2 linked regions of the Neodiprion lecontei genome follow. The protein of the gene in region 2 purifies or fractionates together with the protein of the main gene of each other region. This does not show direct contact. Links are inferred from orthologs where the notes say so. Each region holds a gene or a part of one and is shown on either strand. Other genes may lie near its edges.

Evidence for each region. Proteins that work in one complex are often made in the same cells at the same time.
Region 1: the proteins of probable cytosolic iron-sulfur protein assembly protein Ciao1 (region 2) and probable cytosolic Fe-S cluster assembly factor CPIJ010948 purify together in Homo sapiens (affinity purification with western blotting; 3 studies listed by BioGRID and IntAct, with this or other methods). This does not show direct contact. The link is inferred for Neodiprion lecontei from reciprocal best matches to the Homo sapiens genes CIAO1 and CIAO3.

The regions. Positions count from the first base shown.
Region 1 is NC_060264.1:4,193,926-4,198,973, reverse strand, and holds probable cytosolic Fe-S cluster assembly factor CPIJ010948, read right to left. Parts: upstream 3,133-5,048; 5' UTR 3,002-3,132; coding exon 2,936-3,001; intron 2,825-2,935; coding exon 2,729-2,824; intron 2,600-2,728; coding exon 2,444-2,599; intron 2,332-2,443; coding exon 2,061-2,331; intron 1,965-2,060; coding exon 1,716-1,964; intron 1,626-1,715; coding exon 1,245-1,625; intron 1,170-1,244; coding exon 928-1,169; 3' UTR 531-927; downstream 1-530. Other genes in the region: dynein axonemal light chain 4, read left to right, coding at 3,934-3,993, 4,314-4,562.
Region 2 is NC_060264.1:55,544-60,060, reverse strand, and holds probable cytosolic iron-sulfur protein assembly protein Ciao1, read right to left. Parts: upstream 2,928-4,517; 5' UTR 2,783-2,927; intron 2,776-2,782; exon of another isoform or gene 2,628-2,775; intron 1,759-2,627; 5' UTR 1,753-1,758; coding exon 1,297-1,752; intron 1,226-1,296; coding exon 680-1,225; 3' UTR 517-679; downstream 1-516. UniProt on the Homo sapiens protein: Key component of the cytosolic iron-sulfur protein assembly (CIA) complex, a multiprotein complex that mediates the incorporation of iron-sulfur cluster into extramitochondrial Fe/S proteins.

The DNA.
Region 1 (5,048 bases), about 4.1 Mb from region 2:
ATTTCTATATATGTATATATATACATATCTGTATAGAAATCTTACTCGATTGATGATGCATAAAACGGAAGTAACACAGAGCACCCAGTACGATTTATGATTTTAATAAATATTAGCTTGTATTGAGAATTGAATTTCATTTAAAATGGTTTGTTGAAGAATGCAAAGGGCTTTACTAGATTGAAATCTTTGTTTTCGTGAAATGTGGAATTGATTGGTATTCATTTCAGAAAATTTTGATTGAAAATTAAAATTAATGAATTGCAAAATATGTGGTTACATAAAACAAATGGTCCAATTCGAAAAAATGGAAAGCAATACCGTAAAGTAAGATGTAATAACATTTCAAATAACAGATTTCAAAGTATGAACTTATTTGGATATGGAAAAATAGAGAGAGAAAAATGGCATAATTCTTTCGAAGTTGCATCGACGTGATTACCTTATATTATGGATATATTCATTAATCAGAATTGTAATCAGGGATGTGAAACATAAAAGAGAATGATATTAACTTTTTTCCGAACTAATGCAACATACCTGTATATAACTGGAAGTTAATGTTAGTAACGTGATAATAACACTATGTAGAATAGATGAGAAACCGAAAAATATTAGTAATTTCGCATAATACACACAAACAGTACAATTTTAATTCTTAGATAGATTTTTTGAGTAACACTTAATAACACTCGAACTCAAAACTTGTTGTTCTGGCATGAAATATGTGTCGATTTACTTCAGTATTGTACCACATATTTATTTCATATGATTTTAATTTGTAAATATATTTCAAATGATAAAGATGTTTATAAATATTAATATATCGTAATTGCTAATACAAATCATCCAATTTTGTTCTTTACCTTATACCAATTTGGAGAATTACCTACTTAGTTATTAGTTGTGCCATTCTTGTGGAACATTTCACCACTTAATCGCAAGTGCCGTATTCATCTTCTCTATTTCATGATACTGCGTATGGAGGAAAGCAGCGGATTTGTCGGAGTGCTCGCCTTCAAGCCACGTAGTGTACAAACTTAATGTAACACAATTTTCTTCTGGTTTACTTAAAGGAAGACTGTGATAAACTGTTTCAAGTTTAGCGGCCAATTCACGTGGCTGTAAACCATCCTGAGGTCGTATTTGGGCTCCACCGTTGAGGCAGCCTATAAAGATGAGAAAAAAACCAAGTTTTAAGAAACGAATATTGAAATATGCTTTGTCGCTTGAATGAGACTTACCTGAAGGACAGGCCATAACTTCAACATAGTGATACGGAGACTTCCCTCTTTTAAGTTTCTGAACGAGGTTTTGAATGTTTTTAAAGCCATTGGCAATAGCGAACCTGAGTAAAATTTTTCCATCTTTTTCCAAAACTGCCTCCTTGAAATCTGGATTTCTTAGATTTTTAAATTCAACAGTAGTATTGGCTTCTTGGAAAAGATGATAAGCGGCGTACTGGAATATGAAATGAGCATAGCCACCTGATCCCGAGCCTTGATGTCCCCAAAGTATTTTGTCAGATTGTTCTTTGTTGTATGCACCAAAAGGTCGGTCTATTTCACCACTTTCAACATCGTTCAATGACACTCCCTGACTAATCAACATGTTTTCCAATTCAACTGAAAAAAAACAAAATTCATAATCACGAACAATGAAGATGAATAAATTCACAATAATGCATCTCGACACGTTTTACTAATATTGCATACTTGACGTAATCACGCAGTCGACGTCTCTGGTCTGCTTAAGTTCATTGTAAAAATCTTCTCGAGAGGCTTCCAATTTTTTATCATAACAGGGCATCACGCTGATGTGATATACTCGCTCAGGAGGTAGCCCTTTGTACTTGGTCAAATGGTATTTGACCAAAGAACCCATTACTTGTTGTGGCGATTTTGTCACACTTATATAGGGCAGTATGAAATTTCCGTGAGTCTTTTCCGCGTAACAAACCCAGCCTAATTGTACAAAGAAAGAAATTACCTGGATGGATTATAATAATACACAACTGTCGGAATTTTTAGTCACAGTATTCGGTAAAAAATAAGCTATACCTGGACAAGACGAAGCCAGCATCGGTATTTGACCTTTGACATTATCCTGAGAAGACTTATATCTTTCAATAAATTCTCTCGCTGATTCCAGCAGAGAAAAATCATCTGCTGCAGTCATGTCCAATATCATATCTGCTCCCAATTGACGAAAATGACCAGCTAATTTCCGGGTAGCGCTTTCTGGATCCAAACCATAGCGCTCGGCTAGCGACAAAACTGGCTGTACTGATAAACTCACTACGATGAATCTCGCCTCTTCTTGTTTTCCATTCTGTGAAACATCAAAACGTTGTCATTAATTTGAGAATAGATTGTGACCAACTTTTTATCGACTCTGCCTCCATTCGAGAAACAAGGAGTACGATGTAGATATAATGCATTACCTCTCGAAAGTTCTGATTTTCCTGTAAGACCCTCAGAAGTTCCTCTTGGCTCTGCTGAGTAACAAGAACGCTTTCGGCCGATGTTATACAGCCGCTGCAAGCTAAGCAGTCGGCTAAAGTGATCTCGACTTTCTGAAGTTTTTCCGAAGTACCAGACTGTGATAAAGAAATAAAAATAATTAATTGGGTGAAACATGCTCGGTTCAGTTTCGGAAGTGTGAAAAGGTATTAGTTCTGACTATATAAAAGGACAGCATTTATAATATTCATTATTAACAGACGAACCTCATTTAATTCTACATAAGCTCCGTCTTCCTGTATTTTTATTTTAGCCCCTGTCTTAGCCTTCGACTTTGGTATTTCAATTGGTTTTATACACTCCTGTAAAACAAATTCGAATTTAGCGCCTATTCTTATACGCTCGAGAAACTGGACATGCAAATACAAAAGTTTAGGTGATATTCTACGGGAATAACATATTTTTAAACTTACCAGTGACGGAGTTATGAAATCGTCTAAATCCGTCAATTGCAGAGCACCACTAAATCGTGATGCCATGTTTTAAAACTTTATATTGAAATCAGTCGGAATATCAGGTGTATACTTCGCAATACATCAATGACTATCACTTGCGCACACGACAAACTGCGTGATTTTCCCAGTGTACTAGCGTCAAGCTAATGTTACTTATACAATACAGTAATAGCTCGGTAATCGCGGGTGGCGCCACTTTACACTTTTAGAAGCAACAATGACCAACAGTGGGAAAGAGCGTTTTCGAATCCATCTGGTGGCAAATAATACACATTGCAACTCTGAATACAATTCATCTGGATTCGCATTGATTTGAGTTTTGTAAAAGAAATTTGTCATTATATTTTGAAATCTACACAGACGGTAAAACTCTTGCAATAAAATAAACTGCAACTGTAGTCAATAACAGCTTAGACGCAACACAATTGCTTGGCTCTTTTTGACCATGAATTACGAGCACTATTAATTGTATTTTGCTTACGAGATAAAATTAAGGAATTTGATTGTTTTAAATTATAGATATATTACGAGTTCTCGAGCGTTGACATTCCATATACCTGTATATGAACAACAATCGAAACGGACAATATTAAAACACAGCGTGCGATGTCGCGATTGCGCCGGCGCCTATTCTTTCACCATTCACGATGACGAAATCGAGTGCATAGATACGTGGGGGGTGATTCTTCCTCCCTGTTGCCTTGGGAAGTAAATATTTTGCCTCCTCCCTTTCTGCCAAATGCCCAACGCCCCGTTTCCTACTTGACATCTGATTTCACGACTCCGCATGAGTCACGAGCGCAATAATTTTGCCCCAATTTCGCCTGCTTCACGGCAATTTTCTCTGCATCAGTGTAACACAGGTGTTTCGTCGTGTGTTGCCGCACATACAATTAATAGTGTAATGCAATTATAACTACGATTGAGATTGAATTATAAAAATAAACAACAGAACGATGACGGAAGTCAAGAAGGACGATGTCGTCAAAATACTTCATACGTATCCCTTGTGTCGCGTGAGTTTCAATCCCCATTCAATTACAAATATCTAAACGTAATTATAATGTACATTAAATTTTTCTCGAAAATAAAAATAAACAAATTCGAATCATGTATTCGAGCAATTGATTTCTTCTCTAATTTTGATGCAATATCTTTGCATCTTTTTGTGTAATTAGAAATTAAGATTAACAAATGAACTTAGAATCAAGTGTATAATATTGAATTCAAATTTAATTTTCACAGTCGTTCAATAAATAAACATTTTCAGTGGAAATTGAAGTTAATGGGGCATTCTTGTATTTTTATTTTTGTTGTTTATTGTTTGTTCCAACAGAAATGTGACATGAGCGACGAGATGAAACAGGAAGCGATGGAGTTATGCGTAACGGCAGCCGAGAAGTACGCGGATAATTACGAGAGTGCTTCGAAAATGATTAAGGAAACGATGGACAAAAAATTTGGAGCATCCTGGCACACGGTAGTGGGTGAAGGATACGGATTCGAGATTACCTATCAGCTAAAACACCTTCTGTACATGTATTGCGCAGGAAATTTAGCTATTTGTATATGGAAATCCGCGTAGCCATAACATTAAAGTCTATTTTGATAACGGTATACTAATGCTATCAGCTAGACAAAAAAGCTACTTCACTATCCTAATCACAAGCAATTGATAAAAAATGTTTCTAAATGTGCTAACTCTGTGAGATGAGTATTGGCAATATATTTAAAGATGTATTGACGTTGTCATTCGTGTAAATGGTTTCACTATAGATTATAAATATTCTCGTTCCTATTTTTTCAACAGATTAATACCGATCTTAATTGGTTTTCATATAGGTACTTTATATGTTGCAATATCGTGGTTTGGAAAATTTTTACGATCGATAATCTTTACTATAAAAATTGACGATAAATCGATGTTCGAATGACTGATTAATAATAGTATAAGTACAAACAGACTCTATGGAATTTGATTCTGAATCTTTGATTTAAATTTCTGTGAGTATGTAAATACACATGTGAGGAATATGATAAAGTTCGAGAAACATCAGATCTAGTCAATTAT
Region 2 (4,517 bases):
TGCATTACATCCTCGGTAAGATCATTGGTGATGAGTGTGTGCGTAATTAACTTCGATTTTGTTGGTTCAATGAGCAGGCCAACGTTATCCCAGGAAGCCGCTAGCTCGATCGGGGCAAACGAGTGAATAGCATCCAAGACTTGGCTTAGCGCTAGTCCCTCCCTAGTAGAGTCCAGATCTCCCATTCTAGATGTTACGTGATGGTATTTGAGAAGCTTATACAGACCGTGAGTTCTGAATAGAAGTCTCGATACAACCGTTGAATGAATGTGCATTTATAGTTGTTTATCTGCAACAGAGATATACGAAGAGGTTTAATTATTACACAGAATGCATATGTGTTCAAGAAGCGAATGATTTGTAATTTTCGTTGATGAAAGAGAAATGCAGAAATGTCATTCGTAACATGATTTGTAGAACGAATGAAGAAAATTTCCAGTATCAACATTTTTATCATGCGTTTACATTTCATATATTGTGGGTGGGGAAAAAAAATGAAGCCAACAACAGTAGTAGTTTTATATTTACAAATTATTTATTGTTAGGGTTAACAGGATATGTGTACATTTAATTTGGAAAAAACCGATTACTAATAAGTGAGTGCTGAAGCAGGGAAGACAGCAGCTGTGCTTGACTCCCATTTGAGCTGCAACATCAGTGATTGAATGATGTAAGCCTCTTATTCACTGTACAGCCAAATTTTGACAAGCCCGTCGTCGCTTGCCGATGCAAGTTGTCCAGGAACAACAGGATTCCATTGTACAGAGTTGACGTCCTGTGTATGTGCATCATCTGTAGTACAAACCATACTAAAGGAGGGTTGATTTGGATTTGAATCAGTGTCCTCGCGAAATATTCTGATGATATCGTCGCCACATGCTGTGGCAATAAGCCCTGTTAATTTGCACCAGTCAATATCGTATATCGGCCGACTATGGTAGCCTGACAAAGTGCAGCAACACTTCCAAACAGATTCGTTGTTTTCTGTTGATATACCAGCCTCATTACCAGGTTTGTATTCCTGCCATATTTTCACTGTCTTGTCATCGCTGCAGGTTGCCAAACGGTTTCCTGTGCTATCGAAAGACAGGCTCCAAACTGTAGATGTGTGGGAATTCAGAGTTGCCGTGCAGACCCAGTCGCTGTACGCGTCTTCCTTGAAAATTCTCACAGTATCGTCATAGCTAGCTGAGGCCAGGGTATCCTCGTGCGGATGCCATTTTACCTGCAATCATCAGAGTTGCCATTAATTAAGAAGAAATACCGCCATTAGCAAGCAATGCGATATGAATTCACCTTTTTTACATCTTGGGCATGGCATGATATTACAGAAGCACATTCGTATTCATCATCGGCAGCTTCCCAAATCCATACAGATTTATCTCGACTACACGTGGATAATAATTGTCCGCTCCGTGACCAGCTGACACTCTTGACTTCATGCTCGTGTCCTTCTAATGTTACGTTGCACTCGAATTGACCAGCCTTTTTATCCCAAATAGCCGTTGTAGCGTCAAAACTGGCAGATGCGATATAATTTCCACACGGAGACCATGAAACTTCCCTAACCGTTCTCTGGTGGCCTTCAGCCAAGATAGTTTTGACTACCCACTTTGAACTCTCATTCGCCCAAATTCTTATTGTCCTATCCTCGCCACAAGAAGCTAAGCTATTGCCTTTTGGGTGCCAACATACATTCCACACTCTTCCTTTATGACCTGATAAACTCTGTTTCAGTTCCAACGAACCCATCGCTACCTGAAACAGGACGACCCAATTCTAAATGTGCCTAAGCAGGATAGTACCGAGTCTGTCCCACTAATATTCCAGTTACACAAAACTGCACAAGGGATTGACATTCTAATAATCATTTGATATTTACAATAATGATGGTTCATAGATAGCCCGAGAGCCTAATATTGGGCAAACGATACAGGGCACCATAAACAATAGGGAAAAGAACACATTTCTGGTTGCAACATACGCATCATCATGTCTGTTAACGAAGGGAAGTTTTGCTCGTCAGAACAAATGTTAGAGTTGATATAAAATAAAATTCAGAACGTAACGCCTCTTGAATGAAATATCGATTAAATGGTTAAAAAATCAATGAAAATTAATCGAAATGTCAATTCGCACTACATAGTGAACTTTCACGATACACTTCAGACACATTAAATGTTTAATTGTCCAGAATTGGTTGCATAAACTTGAAGTGTCCGAACGATAATTCAAGGCAGCCTCAAATCGAGTGCAACGGGTAAGATTATGTGCAGGCTCTGTTATATCCTAGCCAGAGTTTTGATAAAAGATCGCATTCTGTAACAATCGAAAATCACACACACACAAGAGGTACGAATTATGCTGCCGGTGTTTATCACTTTCAGCGATTGTGTACGCGAAAAATTCTGTTCGCATGGAAATCGGCGTGTCTCGAAAACTTGTTGTGGTTACTCTAATTTTTTCCGAAAAATTTGAAAGAAGAGAACATTAGGTACATTTAGAGTGTTTCGTGTAGGTTCACGCTGTAGTTGCAAATAAACGAAGCGAAAAATAATTGAAAAATTCAAAGGTTCAGATTAGGATCGGGGATCGGACTTGGGTTAGGTTTATTTTTCCAGACGAACCTATGATGCTAGAATGATATTTTATCAATCGCAACGATTATTTCAAAGAGGAGTGTATTGCGACGGCGATAACGAGGACGATTTGCAATTCTTGTGTTTGTCAGAATTCAACTATTTACATTACTTAAAACTATGACCTTGCTTAAAATACATACTCAAGTCAACTCAATCAATCTGGCGATCACTATCCGCGTTGTACGTATGCATGTACGTATGTATTGTACATACATACAGAAATGTAGATGAAAAGACTATCGCTTTCTGAAACTAATTGACTGTGGTAAGGACATGTCGAACTGTGTTTACCATCGCCAAACAGATCGTTAGCTAGTATGGTACAGTGGTATGTGCAGCATAGCCAGATCACAATTCCTGTGCTGCCAATGGCACGCCCGATAAAAGGAACAAACGTAGAGCTCCATGTGACTTTCAAGGCTCCTATGTTCCTGCAGGCAAGAAAGAGATGGATACCACTTCCGCGATGTTAAGTCCGGATCGGTTACCGACGTGCCTTCGACGTCATCAACGCCAACTCGAAAAGCCTATCCCCTGTCAGAGGGCGCTAGTCCTCTATTTACCAATTGTTCACCGGGCGGATTTGACGCAATTTTTTGTCCAGTAGACGTCGCTGGTTGTGCCGAGTCGGGCGTAATTTGCGTTTCATACGGTACGGCGGTCGGTGTACTTACGGGAATATTCACGTTAGCAAGGATCCGGAGAATTGTCTGAGTTCGAATTTTTTATTTTCTGAAATGTGTTCGTGTCGTGCTTCGATTTGCAATTGCGCTTAATCTAACATGGAAAATCGCTGGAGTTGCATTGTACGTTAATCGCATCGCGGACGGGTAGTCGCTATTAATTAAGGTAAGAAAGAATTTTGCGAAGCCGATCGATCGTATGTACATACAATATTTCTGCTATGTGACGTTATACATGTGTATAACATACAATGTATGTACGTATGCATATGAGTAAGAATGTAGCATCCGTGGATGCACAAGTGTCGCGCGATTTTCATCATTTCGGGTATATTCAGATCCATTCTGATCCTTTTGTTTTCTGAAATTGATGAACTGGATTTTCATCGGTCACTGTCAGTAAGTTATCTTTATCCTCCGTATATTAATATATAAATATTTACCTTCGAATCAAAGTGCCAATGTTTCTCGTACGTACGTACTACTACCACAGTTGTCCATTATTGTTCCTTGTCGCGTCAAGTGTAATCATAACTGCTAAATAAAAAAATCGTTTCATATCCCTTGTCAAAGAAGACAGTAGTATGGCAATGTTTCTTAACGAGTTTATATGAAAACATTGTTAACAGTTGTGATGTACACGAATCGGCAAGTGAATATGTCAAATCCGTGATTCCAAAGAATGTTATCGCAAGTCGCAAGTCGCCAGTTTGGTCGCCCCTGGGGCTGCGCAGTCTGCGAAGGTGTGCGTGCGTGCGTGAATGACGCTGTTCATCTCCATAGCGTTCCGTGACATACCATATAATACGCACACGTATGGCATATACATGCCTATACGGACGAGTGGTCTGTTGCACAGCTATCATTCACAAATCTGCGTGACACAGATAAGAGTTTTATAAACCGAATTAAAAGTATTTTAATTAAATATAAGGTATGTGTTGTAATAGGGAAGTCATTGGTGGACTTTGTTGGAATGAATTTTTCGATTCTTTGTGATTCGGTCCCAACTGAAAGCCGCACAGCGGTACGAGTTCTTCGTTGTTTATATCGAATAGATGACATATTCGCCAAACAAAACCGCAGTGTAGGGTCGAGGCAAGCCTCAGACTGGCAAGTCTTATTAAACTTGACGGCATGGTTATATAATTATATGAACCGTGTACATGCCTATGGTCCCCTGCAGATCGTT